Anolis sagrei: one gene and its partner. The protein of the gene in region 1 purifies or fractionates together with the protein of each later gene. This does not show direct contact. Links are inferred from orthologs where the notes say so. Each region holds a gene or a part of one and is shown on either strand. Other genes may lie near its edges.

The links. Proteins that work in one complex are often made in the same cells at the same time.
Region 2: the proteins of SNRNP70 (region 1) and SNRPD1 purify together in Homo sapiens (affinity purification with mass spectrometry; 6 studies listed by BioGRID and IntAct, counting the BioPlex papers as one, with this or other methods). This does not show direct contact. The link is inferred for Anolis sagrei from reciprocal best matches to the Homo sapiens genes SNRNP70 and SNRPD1.

Annotation. Positions count from the first base shown.
Region 1 is NC_090026.1:28,579,775-28,587,415, forward strand, and holds the start of SNRNP70 (U1 small nuclear ribonucleoprotein 70 kDa), read right to left. Parts: upstream 3,004-7,641; 5' UTR 2,884-3,003; intron 1-2,883. UniProt on the Homo sapiens protein: Component of the spliceosomal U1 snRNP, which is essential for recognition of the pre-mRNA 5' splice-site and the subsequent assembly of the spliceosome. SNRNP70 binds to the loop I region of U1-snRNA.
Region 2 is NC_090026.1:77,913,229-77,920,879, forward strand, and holds the start of SNRPD1 (small nuclear ribonucleoprotein Sm D1), read left to right. Parts: upstream 1-4,648; 5' UTR 4,649-4,828; coding exon 4,829-4,842; intron 4,843-7,651. UniProt on the Homo sapiens protein: Plays a role in pre-mRNA splicing as a core component of the spliceosomal U1, U2, U4 and U5 small nuclear ribonucleoproteins (snRNPs), the building blocks of the spliceosome.

The DNA.
Region 1 (7,641 bases):
AGGAACTGGGAAGTAACTGGCCTTTTGCTCACAAGTTAAAACCTTTCTGTGGAATCAGGCCTTTCTCAATAACCTATAAAGGCAATGACCAGACAACTATTGGTAAGCCATATTATTATTGCTATTTCGGACTTGGCAATGTTGACACAACCAAAAGTCTCCAAATAAGGCCTCCGGAAATATATTTGTATTGTAGAATAACTGTCAAAAAAAGTGTTGTCGAAGGCTTTCATTCACAGAATCACTGGGTTGCGATGAGTTTTCTGGGCTGTATGGCCATGTTCCAGAAGCATTCTCTCCCGATGTTTTGCTCACATATATGGCAGGCACCCTCAGAGGTTGTGAGGTATATTGGAAACTAGACGAAGGCGTGCCTGATGGCACAGTGGGTCAAACCGCTAAGCTGCTGAACTTGCTGACCAAAAGGTTGGCGGTTTGAATTTGGGGAGTGGGATAAGTTAGCCCCAGCTTCTGTCAACTTAGCAGTTCAAAAACATCCAAATGTGAATAGATCAATAGGTACCATCTTGGTGGGAAGGTAACAGCGCTCCATGCAGTCATGCTGGCCACATGACCTTGGAGGTGTCTATGGACAATGGCCACATGACCTTGGAGGTGTCTATGGACATCTGGGGACCCCAGGTTGAGAACCATGTATTGTCGAAGGCTTTCATGGCCGGAATCACTGGGTTGCGGCGAGTTTTCCGGGCTGTATGGCCATGTGCCTGAAGCATTCTCTCCGGACGTTTATAGATCTGTGGAAGGTCCGGGGTGGGAGAAATAGCTCTTGGTTGCTGTATGTTTTTCAGGCTGTATGGCCATGTTCCAGAAGCATTCTCTCCTGACGTTTATAGATCCGTTGAAGGTCTGGTGTGGGAGAAATAACTCTTGGTTGCTGTACGTTTTTCAGGATGTATGGCCATGTTCCAGAAGCATTATCTCCTGAAGTTTATAGATCTGTGGAAGGGCTGGGGTGGGAGAAATAACTCTTAGTTGCTGTAAGTTTTTCGGGCTGTATGGCCATATTTATTTATCGTGTCATCAGCAACCAGACCATTGTGTTACATTTCTAACAGAACAAAACAAACAAACAGATAAAAAAACACAAATTCTGCAAACTTGGTAGTTGATTAAATGTCCTTTGACCAGTAGCTGGCCACTTGGAGTGCCTCTGGTGTTGCCGCAAGAAGGTCCTCCATTGTGCATGTGGCAGGGCTCAGGTTGCATTGCAGCAGGTGGTCAGTGGTTTGCTCTTCTCCGCACTTGCATGTCGTGGATTCCACTTTGTGGCCCCATTTCTTGAGATTGGCGCTGCATCTCGTGGTGCCAGAGCGCAGTCTGTTCAGTGCCTTCCAAGTCGCCCAGTCTTCTGTGTGCCCAGGGGGGAGTCTCTCATTTGGTATCACCCACGGATTGAGGTGCTGGGTTTGAGCCTGCCACTTTTGAACTCTCGCTTGCTGAGGTGTTCCAGCGAGTGTCTCTGTAGATTAGGGCTGGGTGGTTTCGTTCATTAATTTCGTAATTCATTATTAATTCGTATTTAAATTAGCTTACGATCCGATATTGAGCCATTTTGGAATAGTGTGAGGAGTTAAATAGATTCGAAACAATTTTTCAACTTATTTTGTAATTGTTTCGTAATTGTTTCGAAATTATTTTCGCATGCCTGGTGCAAGTTTTATAGTTGTTTGTTTTATCACACCAACAGTCAACAACAGAGGGAGAGGGAAGCTTTAGAAGTTCCCCCTGTCCCATTTGGAGGTTTTTTCAGCATATTTGGAGGTTTTTTTTAGCATATTGTGCAATCGCGTCCGCCATTAACAAATCGATTCGAAATTTACGAAATTTCGTATATTTCAAAAATTTTAAAAGGAAAATTTCGGAATTCTTTAAAGAAACGAAACGTGATGGACCCCTTAAAAACGAATCGAGTTTAGAAACAAATTCTTCCGTGGTTACCCAGCCCTACTGTAGATCTAAGAAAAGTATTTCTTGATTTAAGTCGTTGATGTGCTGGCTGATACCCAAACAGCCATGTAATGGCCATGTTCCAGAAGCATTCTCTCCTGACGTTTCGCCTCCTGAGGATGCCTGTCATAGATGCAGGCAAAACGTCAGAAGAGAATGCTTCTGGAGCATGGTCATACAGCCCGAAAATTTTATAGCAACCAAGAGTTATTTCTCCCACCTTGGACCTTCCACAGATACATAAACGTCAGAGAGGAAGCTTCTGGCACATGGCCATACAGCCGGGAAAACTCACCACAACCCAGTGTCTAAAAAAGGAATGGTTTGCCCATGGAGGCTCCTTCTTTGGAAGCTTTTATGCAGAGGCTGGATGGCCATCTGTCAGGGGTGATTTGAATGCAATATTCCTGCTTCTTGGCAGGGGGTTGGACTGGATGGCCCGTGAGGTCTCTTCCAACTCTTCGATTCTATGATTCTATGCCTGTTGTAAACCCCACGCGGCCTAGGCCTCAAGCTTCAGGTCCTCATCTGCGTCACTAAAGTTAAATGTACGGCAGTGGCGCCTACCTCGCAAGGCCGCTGTAAGGAAAAAACGCTGGCCATTAATATTGCATTGGCATCCCAGCAGCCTTTGCGGAGCCCCCACGCCCCTTCTTCCCTCCTCCGCGGCAGGCCTTCCCCTGCGACTCGAGGCCAATTTCCCTCTCCGGCCTTTCCCCGGGGCCTACTTCGGCCCTTCTGCTTCAAGCCTCCCTCCAAGCCCCGCGCCCGCTCTTCCCAAGCCCCTCCCTCACTCCGGCCGAGGCGAAAGGAGCCTTCTTCCTCTCACAAAAACACAACAGAATAAATATACATATTCCCCGCCACAAAAGCACCACAACACCTTCTCCCCACAACCGACCGCGCCTCACACACCCTCGACTCTCCCCCGCGGAGGGGTCCTCGGCCGCGTTACGCTTCCTCCTCTCCTCGGCGCCTCCCGCCGCCTCAGGCTGGGGCCTACTCCACCGTCCTTCTGCGCATGCTCGGGATCCTTCCGCGCCGGGACTCGTTTCTGTTCTCTTGAAATGATTCCTCCGCCAGAGCTTTGCTGTAGGAGAAGCGGCTCTGAGGAGAAAGAGTGACGCTGCTAATATAGTTCCAGTCACAAAGCAAAAAGAGGCGGGGATTGGGTTTGAAAGAGATGAAGTCAGAGGGTCTAAAACCAAAATCCAGAGGAAGAAATGCTTCTCACACATTTGAGAGCCTTGAACTGTTATTCCTGGTTTCGTTTTAAAATATCAATAAGATAAAATATCAATAATAATAATAATGCTGGTAGATTATAACATTCATAAAGGGGTCTCTCTCAAAAATGTGCTCTTTGAAGATGAAGTACCATCTTTACATTTATTTATTTATATTTCAGATGAAGTACCCTGTCTGCTGAGACACTGGAATTAGCCCAAGAAAGGAGGAAAGCAAAAGGAAACAGGGATAAGGGGAGATATGCCCAGTTAAATGCGCAATTCTAGAGGTTAGCCAGAAGAGAGAAGGAACTATTTTTAAATAAGCAATGCATGGAACTGGAAGAAGACAACAGAATAGGAAGGACAAGAGACCTCTTCCAGAAAATTAGAAACACTAGAGGTAAATTTCAGGTAAAAAGTGGTACGATAAGAAACAAAGATGGCAGGGACCTAACAGAAGCTGAAGAGATCAAGAGAAGGTGGCGAGACTATACAGAAGATCTGTATAGGAAGGATAATAATATCGAGGATAGCTTTGACGGTGTGGTGAATGAATTAGAACCAGACATCCTGAAGAGTGAGGTTGAATGGGCCTTAAGAAGCATTGCTAACAACAAGGCAGCAGGAGACGACGGGATCCCAGCTGAACTGTTTAAAATCTTAAAAGATGATGCTGTCAAGGTGATGCATGCCATATGCCAGCAAATATGGAAAACACAAGAATGGCCATCAGACTGGAAAAAATCAACTTATATCCCCATACCAAAAAAGGGAAATGCGAAAGACTGCTCAAACTTTCGTACAGTGGCCCTTATTTCTCATGCCAGTAAGGTAATGCTCAAGATCCTGCAAGGAAGACTCCAGCAAGACATGGAGCGAGAGTTGCCAGATGTTCAAGCAGGGTTTAGAAAAGGCAGAGGAACGAGAGACCAGATTGCCAATATCCGCTGGATAATGGAGAAAGGCAGGGAGTTTCAGAAAAACATCTATTTCTGCTTCATTGACTGTGTGGATCATAATAAATTGTGGGATGGGCATACCAAGCCCCCTTGTCTCTCTCCTGAGGAATCTGTACAAGGACCAAGTAGCAACAGTCAGAACTGACCACGGAACAACAGACTGGTTCAAGATTGGGAAAGGCGTACGGCAAGGCTGCATACTCTCACCCAACCTTTTTAACTTGTATGCAGAACACATCATGCGATGTGCGGGGCTGGATGAATGCAAAGCTGGGGTGAAAATTGCTGGAAGAAACATCAACAACCTCAGTATGTAGATGACACCACTCTGATGGCCGAAAGTGAGGAGGAGCTGAGGAGCCTTCTAATCAAGGTGAAAGAAGAAAGCGCAAAAGCTGGGTTGCAGCTAAACATAAAAAAAACCAAGATTATGGCAACAGGAATGATTGACAACTGGAAAATAGAAGGAGAAAATGTGGAGGCCGTGACAGACTTTGTATTTCTAGGTGCAAAGATTACTGCAGATGCAGACTGTGGCCAGGAAATCAGAAGACGCTTACTTCTTGGGAGGAGAGCAATGTCCAATCTCGATAAAATAGTAAAGAGTAGAGACATCACACTGGCAACATAGATCCGCATAGTCAAAGCCATGGTATTCCCTGTAGTAACCTACGGATGTGAGAGCTGGACCTTAGGAAAGGCTGAGCGAAGGAAGATAGATGCTTTTGAGCTGTGGTGTTGGAGGAAAGTTCTGAGAGTGCCTTGGACTGCGAGAAGATCCAACCAGTTCATCCTCCAGAAAATGAAGCCCGACTGCTCACTGGAGGGAAAGATACTAGAGACAAAGTTGAAGTGCTTTGGCCACATCATGAGGAGACAGGAAAGCCTAGAGAAGACAATCATGCTGGGGAAAGTGGAAGGTAAAAGAAAGAGCAGCCGACCAAGGGCAAGATGGATGGATGGTATCCTTTTATAATAGTTTTTTTTATTAAGATTTTAAGAATAACATCGAAAGAGGGAGAATATTAAAAAAGATGATAGGAAAGTAGGAAAAAAAGTAAGAAGTACATCCCCCTACCCCCAAGTCCACCAGAAAAATACAAAAATATAAAAGACACAAAAAAATGAAAGAAAAAAAAGAAAAAAAAGAAGATAAAAATTGACTTCCATCTCTCCATCAGGTGTTGTGTCCTCAATGATTTTTCCATTATATCCACTTCATAATGTTCCTCTTATTTATTTATTTCCTTTTCGTAGTTTTCATATAGAGTCCAATCTGTCCTCTTTATCGGGTTCCCGGTATTCTTTTTCAAGAAAAAAAAAGTTAATTCGTCAATTTCTCTTATTTCTCTTAATTTCCCTAACCACTCTTCAGTGGTAGGGATATCTTCCTGTTTCCAAAACTTCGCCAATAATATTCTCGCTGCTGTTGTAGCATAGGTAAATAGTCTATCTTCGTATCCTTGAAGTGACTGGACTGACCTTGAAGGAGCTGGGGGTGGTGACGGCCGACAGGAAGCTCTGGCGTGGGCTGGTCCATGAGGTCACGAAGCGTCGGAGATGACTGAACGAATGAACAACACCATCTTTATATTTATTTAATTATATTTATATTTAAGATGAAGTACCATCTTTATATTTATTTATATTTAAGATGAAGTACCACCTTTATAATTATTTATTTATATTTAAGATGAAGTACCATCTTTATATTTATTTAATTAATTATATTTATATTTAAGATAAAGTACCATCTTTATATTTATAAATATATTTATATTTAAGCTGAGTCCTTCTGGATTCTTCACTTACGTTTGAGGCTCAGGCGTCGGTGGTGGCCGGGAGGGCCTTTGCACAATTAAGACTTGTGCGTCAACTGCGACCGTACCTTGGGAAGGCGGATCTGGCCAAGGTGGTCCACGCCTTAGTCACCTCTAGACTGGATTACTGCAATGCACTCTATGTGGGGCTGCCCTTGAAAATGGCCCGGAAATTTCAGATGATCCAATGGGCGGCAGCCAGGTTGTTAACTGGGGCTCCTTACAGAGAGCAGTCATCCCTCCTGTTCAGGGAGCTCCACTGGTTGCCATTAATCTACCGGACCCAATTCAAGGTGCAGGTTCTTACTTATAAAGCCCTGAACGGTTTGGGACCCACCTACCTATGTGATCGCATCTCTGTATACGAACCCACATGATCCCTTCGATCTTCCGGAGAGGCCCTGCTCTCGATCCCACCAGCATCACAGGCATGTTTGGTGGGGACGAGGGAGAGGGCCTTTTTGGTGGTGGTCCCTTGACTCTGGAACTCACTCCCTAAAGACATCAGACAGGCCCCAACCCTGGCAGTCTTCAGGAGGAGCTTGAAGACGTGGCTGTTCCAGTGTGCCTTCCCGGTATAATGAATCCCATAGCACTTTGTCCTCCAAAGCACTTTATATTTCCCTGAGTCTGCTTGTATGCCCTCCACAAACACTAATATCACCTTTCGTTCATGGCCCAGCATTATTTCCAATTTTAACTCTACATTTGGCCTTCCCGCTGTTTTAATGATGTGTTGCTTTTTTGATAATGTTGTGTACTTTATTGTCTATGTTTTTAATTGCTTGTATTGATGTTTTATTGCTTTTGTTGTGTTTGGGCTCGGCCTCATGTAAGCCACACCGAGTCCCTTGGGGAGAAAGTTAATAAATAATAAATAAATAAATAAATAATTTAAGTAATTACTTTTACATTTAAGATGAAGTACCATCTTTATATTTATAAATATATTTATATTGAATGGTTGTCTTAAAAAGGTATGGGCAAACTTGGGCCTTCCTCCTGGTGTTTTGGACTCCAACTCCCACCATTCCTAACAGCATCAGTCCCTTTCCTTTTTCCCCTCAGCCGCTTAAGACCACTACTTTCAAAGTGAAGACTACACTATTAAACAGGAACTGACACTTTCAAGCCAGGAACAGAACTTTGTCATTATTATTGTCATTCAGAGGCTGCATGGCCATCTGGCCAGACAGGTTTGGTCGTGTACTAGTGCCTGGGAATAACAGGCACAAGTGTATAACCCGAAAACAAACCAACATAAAAAATCCCATATTTTCCAGGTGTATGGACATACAGAGATACGAATATCCTCATTTTCCGAACAGAGCTGGGATATTCCTGCAACTGAAAATATTTTGTTTTTAGTACTTTGTAGTGATGCCTCCCATGTTTTCAGGGGATATTGATAAAGGTACTGTGTGACTGGGTGCTGGGTTATATGGCTGTGTGGAATTGTGGGAGTTGTAGTTTTACCCAGTCTTTAGTCTTCTCTGTCAAAGAATGCCGTTGTCACACCAAACTACAAAACCCATGATTCCATAGCACTGAGCCATGGCAATTAAATTGGTCTCAAATGGCATTACTTTTACAAATTTGATGTACTCCCAGTTTACAGTTAGCTTTAGTAGTACAAAACAGCCCACATACCATATATTTGCTAAC
Region 2 (7,651 bases), about 49 Mb from region 1:
TCTCGCGCCTCACCTGACGGCCTCCACTTGGGCCTTCAGGACGGCGCCCCACACAGGACAAAACTAAGCGGAAAGCATTTCGACGCCCGCGCTGAGTAAGGCGTTTGGGATTGGCTGAAACGGACGCTCGCAACCATGTCGCCCTATCCCGGAAGCGAAGCAGCGCGTGGGCGGGGTCTCGCTATTGTGACGTCAAGTTCCCGCAACCATCCCCTCAGACGCCGAATGGATTGGGGTAACTCCGCCCCTTCAAAAAAAGGAAAACTCTTCTTTGCACCAACGAGGAACGGAGTGAAAGAGCAAGGAGCGTTTTGATTGGCTCGGCTTGGCAAAAAGAAATGCCTCACTCAGAACTCCACCCCTGGTTTTGTTTCCAGCCACTAGAAACGTAGCAGGCGGAATGTAGAATGCAATTGGGGAAAAGGGGTCGTCAGGCAGGGCCAGTGGCGCAATGGATAACGCGTCTGACTACGGATCAGAAGATTCTAGGTTCGACTCCTGGCTGGCTCGGCTAAATTTTTTTCTTCTGTGAAAAATTAATATTTTCATTTAATGAATCGTGTTGCATCAGTGTAGATTCTCTGGGAGTTCCAGTTTGGAAAAATGGATGGTCATAACCATTTTTCTCCGAAAATAAAAAACAGCTTTGCAGTTTGCTGGTTATATAGGAATTTGACATTTCAAATCCAAACCCTCAGATTTTTCTCCTAAACTCCTTCTACACTTCGACAATACATCCTTCTACACTGCCATATAAAATCCAGATTATCTGCTTTGAACTGGATTATATGTCAGTGTAGATATAATGCCCATTATCTGCTTTGAACTGGATTATATGAATTTTCAATTATATATAATCCAGTTCAAAGCAGATAATGGGCCTTACATGCGTTGAATTATCTACAGTCATATAATCCAATTTGAACAGCATTATAATGGTAAATGTAGACTCATAATGCAGATTGAACCTCATTGAACTGGAATATTTATTTATTTATTTACAGCATTTATATCCCGCCCTTCTCACCCCGCAGGGGACTCAGGGCAGATTACAGTGTACATATATGGCAAACATTCAATGCCAATTTGACTTACAACATGGATGAGAGCTAACAAATTGAAATTGAATCCAGACAAGACAGAGGTCCTACTAGTCAGTCGTAAGGCCGAACAGGGCATAGGGTTACAGCCTGTGTTAGACGGGGTTACACTCCCCTGAAGACGCAGGTTCGCAGCTTGGGAGTGATCCTGGACTAATCGCTGAACCTGGAACCCCAGGTCTCAGCGGTGGCCGGGAGAGCTTTTGCACAATTAAAACTTGTGCGCCAGCTACGCCCGTACCTTGAGAAGTTGGATCTGGCCACGGTGGTCCACGCACTTGTTACATCCCGGATAGATTACTACAACACACTCTTCGTGGGGTTGCCTTTGAAGACTGTTCGGAAACTTCAATTAGCCCAGCAGGAGGCAGCGAAATTACTCACCGGAGCGTCATACAGGGAGCATACCACCCCGTTATGTCAGCTCCACTGGCTGCCGATCCAGTTCTGAGCACAATTCAAAGTGCTGGTTTTGACCTACAAAACCCTATACCAGTGTTTCTCAACCTGGGGGTCGGGACCCCCAGGGGGGTCACAAGGGGTGTCAGAGGGGTCGCCAAAGACCATCAGAAAACAGTATTTTCTGTTGGTCATGGGAGTTCTGTGTGAGACATTTGGACTAATTCTGTACTTGGTGGGGTCCAGAATGCACTTTGATTGTAGGTGAACTATAAATCCCCGCAACTACAACTCCCAAATAACAAAATCAACCCCTCCAACCCCGCCAGTAGTCAAATTTGGGCGTATTGGGTATTTGTGCCAAGTTTAGTCCAGTGAATGAAAATACATCCTGCAGATCAGATATTTACATTACGATTCATAACAGTAGCAAAATTACAATTATGAAGTAGCAACAAAATAATTTGATGGTTGGGGGTCACCACAACATGAGGAACTGTAATAAGGGGTTGCGGCATTTGGAAGGTTGAGAACCACTGCCCTATACGGTTCCGGCCCAGCGTATCTGTCCAAACGCATCTCCCTCTACGTCCCACCTCGGAGTTTAAGATCTTTCGGGGAGGCCCTGCTCTCAGCCCCGCCTTTATCACAAGTGAGATTGGCGGGGACGAGGAGCAGGGCCTTCTCGGTTGTGGCCCCTTACATATGGAATTCACTCCCCGGGGAAATTAGATCATCGTCATCCCTCCTCTCCTTTAGAAGGAAATTAAAAACATGGATTTGGGACCAGGCGTTTGGGCAATCTGGCAGATAAATAAAGGACAATGACGATTGATAGGAATGGAAAATGTGGAATGAAGCTATGGACTCTGAGTTGCGAACGTTGAGCATAAGATTGTTTTTATTGACTGTGATATATATTGATTGTTCTTAACTGTTATAACTGTTTTTAATTGCTGTCTATATCTTATCTGTATTACTATTTTGTAAGCCGCCCTGAGTCCCCCCTCGGGGGTTGAGAAGGGCGGGGTAGAAGTACACAAAAGAAAGAAAGAAATAAAACATATACAGACATAGACAGAGGCTATTTAACTTTTTCTGGCTGCCAGGGGAGCTGTCGCTTTCATCGTCCATCTGTGACACTGATGAAGTACTTCCGCATTCCCCGCATGCTTTTTTGCTGGAATGCTTTGCTGGAGTCTTTTTTGTGGCCTCGTAAATTAGCTAATTTAGCCTCCCCACACTTTAAGGTGGTACCTAATTTTCCTACTTGACAGATGCAACTGTTTTTCGGGTTGCAAAGGTTGACAACAGGCTACACACAATTGGTTGGAAACCCACTCCAACCCGGGCTGGCTTCGAACTCATGACCTTTTGGTCAGAGTGATCTTAATGCAGCTGACACTCAGCTAGCTGCGCCACAATCCCGGTTATAATCCAGTTCAAAGCAGATAATGGGCATTACATGCTTTGAATTATCTACAGTCATATAATCCAATTTGAACAGCATTATAATGGTAAATGTAGTCTCATAATGCAGATTGAACCTCATTGAACTGGAATATATGAGTCTACCAGTGTTTCTCAACCTTCCTAATGCCATGACCACTTAATACAGTTCCTCGTGTTGTGGTGACCCCCATCCGTAACATTATTTTCGTTGCTACTTCAAAACTGTAATTATGCGACCATTATGGCTCGCAGTGTAAATATCTGATATGCAGAATGTATTTTCATTCACTGGACCAAATGTGGCACAAATAGCTTATATGCCCAAATTTGAATACTGGTGAGTTTGGGGGGGGGGGGTGATTTTGTCATTTGGGAGTTGTAGTTGCTGGGATTTATAGCTGACCTACAATCAAAGAGCATTCTGAACCCCACCATCAAAATTGGGCCAAACATTCCACACAGAAAATACTGTGTTTTCTGATGGTCTTTGGTGACCCCTCTGACCCCCCTTCGTGACCCCTCCTGGGGTCCCAACCCCCAGGTTGAGAATCACTGGTACACTGATATAATCCAGTTCAATCCACATTCTGTGGCAGTGTAGATGAGGCCTCCTTGTGTTACCATGATAGAGCCAAGACCAAACCCTGATCTCACAGTGTCTGAGTCCAACATTCAAACCATGACACCACACAGTCTAATCCCAGACATTTTGTGGATATGCAAAATTGTGGATAATAGTGAATCATTTTGGAATGAATGCCTTCTTGCCCAAGAAGGCATTTGTCATTTTTAAAGTTTTTGTCCTTTTTATTTTATTTATTTATTTACCTTACTTATATACCGCTGTTCTCAGCCCGAAGGCGACTCACAGCGGTTCACAACAAATACGAACAGCAAAAATTCAGTGCTACAGTATAGAAACAGTTAACAACCTAACACATTACACGACCCATTCACTGTCGTCTCGTCATCAAAAATATGTTCCAGATTCGTCATCCATTTTTCCATTCCAGTGTTCATTAACCAATCATTGCACTAATTATTCGAACGCCTGCTCAAACAGCCAGGTCTTCACTTTTTTGCAGAATACCATTAGAGATGGTGCTAGTCTAATGTCCGTAGGAAGGGCGTTCCACAGCCGAGGAGCCACCACCGAGAAGGCCCTATCTCTCGTCCCCGCCAGCTGAGCTTGAGAAGCAGGCGGGATCGAGAGCAGGGTCTCCCCGGAAGATCTCAAAGTCCTGGTGGGTTCATAGGCAGAGATGCGGTCGGATAGGTAGCTTGGCCGGAACCGTTTAGGGCTTTAAAGGCCAACGCCAGCACTTTGAATTCAGCCCGGTAGCAGATCGGTAGCCAGTGGAGTTGGCGTAACAGCGAGGTTGTATGCTCCCTGCATACAACCTTTTTAAAAAGAGACCCAAAGCTTAACAATACAAAAAAAATACACAATTGAAAACCTAAAACATATCCACATAATTAATCATAGGGTTATTAGAATAAATAATTAAATTCACTGATGTTCAAGTGCTATAGTTACAGTGCATTATGTGGCAGCATAGAGGTGAGTCTGAGATATACTGTTTCCTCTCGTTTCCTTTTCTGCGCAGGCGCTCTAGCCATTCTCCCTACTGTATTATGCCTTCCTATCCGACAGGTGGCGCTCATTCTCAGCCCCCGCCGCCTTTTTCTCGTTCTCCTTCCCTGGCCGGAAAGAGAAAAGAGGAGACGGAGCTTCCGCTCATTCATCGCGCGCGCCCTGTGTGTTGGGAGTGCGTTTTCTTCTCAGCGAGTAACGGACGCGGCCTAGTCTCCGTGCTCAATTTTTGGTGGTTTATTCCTCACTCGCTTAAGCATTTTCGGCCTACACTTTTGCCGCCATGAAGCTCGTGAGGTAAGGAAGCGGGCTTTTTGTCAGAAGCCACGCGGGCCAAGCCTGGGGTCCTTGCTCTTGGCCTGCAGGCCTTTCCTAATGGCTCCCCACTGAGTTATTTCCCATGAATTTAGCATGAATGGGCATGGATGATAATAGTGGGATTTCCCACCTCCTTCTATTTCTTGTTTCTTCCAAAATTGTGTCACTCTTCATAGCTCAGTCATATTCCAAACTCTGATATAATCTCATATTATTATCTATCTATATAAAAATGCTTTGTGCATAATGAGTACCTTAAAAACAAAAGAACGAATGAACGAAATCGCACCAAATTTGGCAACGAAACGTCTCACTACACAGGGAGTGACCATCACTCAAAAATTATGATTTTGTCATTTGGGAGTTGTAGTTGCTGGGATTTATAGTTCACCTATAATCAAAGAGCATTCTGAACCCCACCAAAGATGGAATTGAACCAAACTTGGCACACAATTCTCCCATGACCAACAGAAAACACTAGAAGAGTTTGGTGAGCATTGACCTTGGGTTTTGGAGTTTTTTATTTATTTATTTATTTATTTATTTGGAGTGTTTCTACCCCGCCCGTCTCAACCCCCTAGGGGGGACTCAGGGCGGCTTACAAAAGGCACAATTCGATGCCTAACAATTCACAAAATACAGTACAATATACAATACACAAATTTACCATATAATGTCAACAGTTATAACTAATTAAAACAATCAAACAGTATACTAGCAGCAATAAAATCATCTTGTGGTCAGTGTTCGCCAATTCATAGTTGTAGTTCAGCTACATTTAGAGAGCACTGTGGACTCAAAGAATAATGGATCTGGACCAAACTTGGCACGAATACTCAATATGCCCAAATATAAACACAGATGGAGTTTTGGGGAAATAGACCTTGACATATGGGAGTTGTAGTTACTAGGATTTTTAGTTCACCTACAATCAAGGAGCATTCTGAACCCCACCAATGAAATTGGGCCAAACTTCCCACACAGAACCCTCATAACCAACAGAAAATACTGTGTTTTCTGGTAGTCTTTGGTGACCCTTCTGACACCCCCTCGCAATTCGCCCCCAGGTTGAGAAATGCTGCCTTAAGGCCATCCAGTCCAACTCCCTTCAGCAGAGCAAGAAAACATAAAGCCCTCCTGACAAAGAGCCATCCAGCCATAGATGTAGATAAATATATATAATTCACACACACACATGTCTATGTCAGATATAGTACCATAGATTTGAAAGGGACCCCTAAAGAAGGACAATTAAATGTTGCATGTTCCAGAGTAGGCAAACCAGACAATCTCCACATCAACACTGGCAAAGAAACAGCAAGATATACTGTTTACCCACAAGCATAAAGAAATTACATATATTAGAAACCAACACTTTCTCATTACTTTATTTTCCAGATCACCAGACTGGGCCACAGCAATGCATGGCAGGGGACCGCTAGTATTATATATAATATTAATAAAGTTGTACTATAATATATTCTATATCATGTATACTATAGCTTACTATATAATACAATATATTATATAATACTAATAGTATAATGTACTCGTAGTGCATTAGTTATATTGTGGTATAATATACTACAATGTAATAATACAATAACTGTATATTATATATTACATGTAATATGACTAATATTGCAGTGTTGTGATATAGTGCAATATAATATATAATACTAATCTGCTATAATCGAGAAAGGCAGGGAGTTTCAGAAAAACATGTATTTCTGTTTTATTGACTATTCTAAAACCTTTGACTCTGTGGATCATAATAAATTGTGGCAAGTTCTTGGTGGTATGGGCATACCAAATCACCTTATCCCTCTCCTGAGGAATCTGTATAAGGATCAAGTAGCAACAGTAAGAACTGACCATGGAACAACAGACTGGTTCAAGACTGGGAAAGGCGTATGGCAGGGTTGTATATTCTCACCCAGCCTATTCAACTTTTAAGCAGAACACATCATGTGATGTGCGGGGCTTGAGGAATGAGGTGAAAATTGCTGGAAGAAACATTAACAACCTTAGATATGCAGACGACACCACTTTGATGGCCGAAAACAAGGACAAGCTGAGGAGACTTCTAATCAAGGTGAAAGAAGAAAGCGCAAAAGCTGAGTTGCAGTTAAACAAAAAAAACCAAAATTATGGCAACAAGAATGATTGACAACTGGGGAGTAGAGGGAGAAAACGTGGAGGCAGTGACAGACTTTGTATTTCTAGATGCAAAGATTACTGCAGACGCAGACTGCAGCCAGGAAATCAGGAGATGCGTACTTCTTGGGAGGAGAGCAATGACCAATCTTGATAAAATAATGAAGAGTAGAGACATCACACTGGCAACAAAGATTCGCATAGTTAAAGCAATGGTATTCCCCATAGTCACCTACGGAAGAGCTGGACCATAGGGAAGGCTGAGCGAAGGAAGATAGATGCTTTTGAACTGTGGTGTCCATACTTCAGGAAATAAAGCCTGAATGCTCGTTGGAGGGAAGAATAGTAGAGGCAAAGATGAAGTACTTTGGTTACATAATTAAAAGACAGGAAAGCTTAGAGAAGACAATGATGCTGGGGAAAATGGAAGAGAGGCCAACCAAGGGCAAGATGGATGGATGGTATCCTTGAAGTGACTGGAATGACCTTGAAGGAGCTGGGGGTGGTGACGACCAACAGGGAGCTCTGGCATGGACTGGTCCATGAAGTCACAAAGAGTCGGAAACAACTGAATGAATTAACAACAATCTGCTATGCTAATAGTACATTATATATACATGTATTGATAATA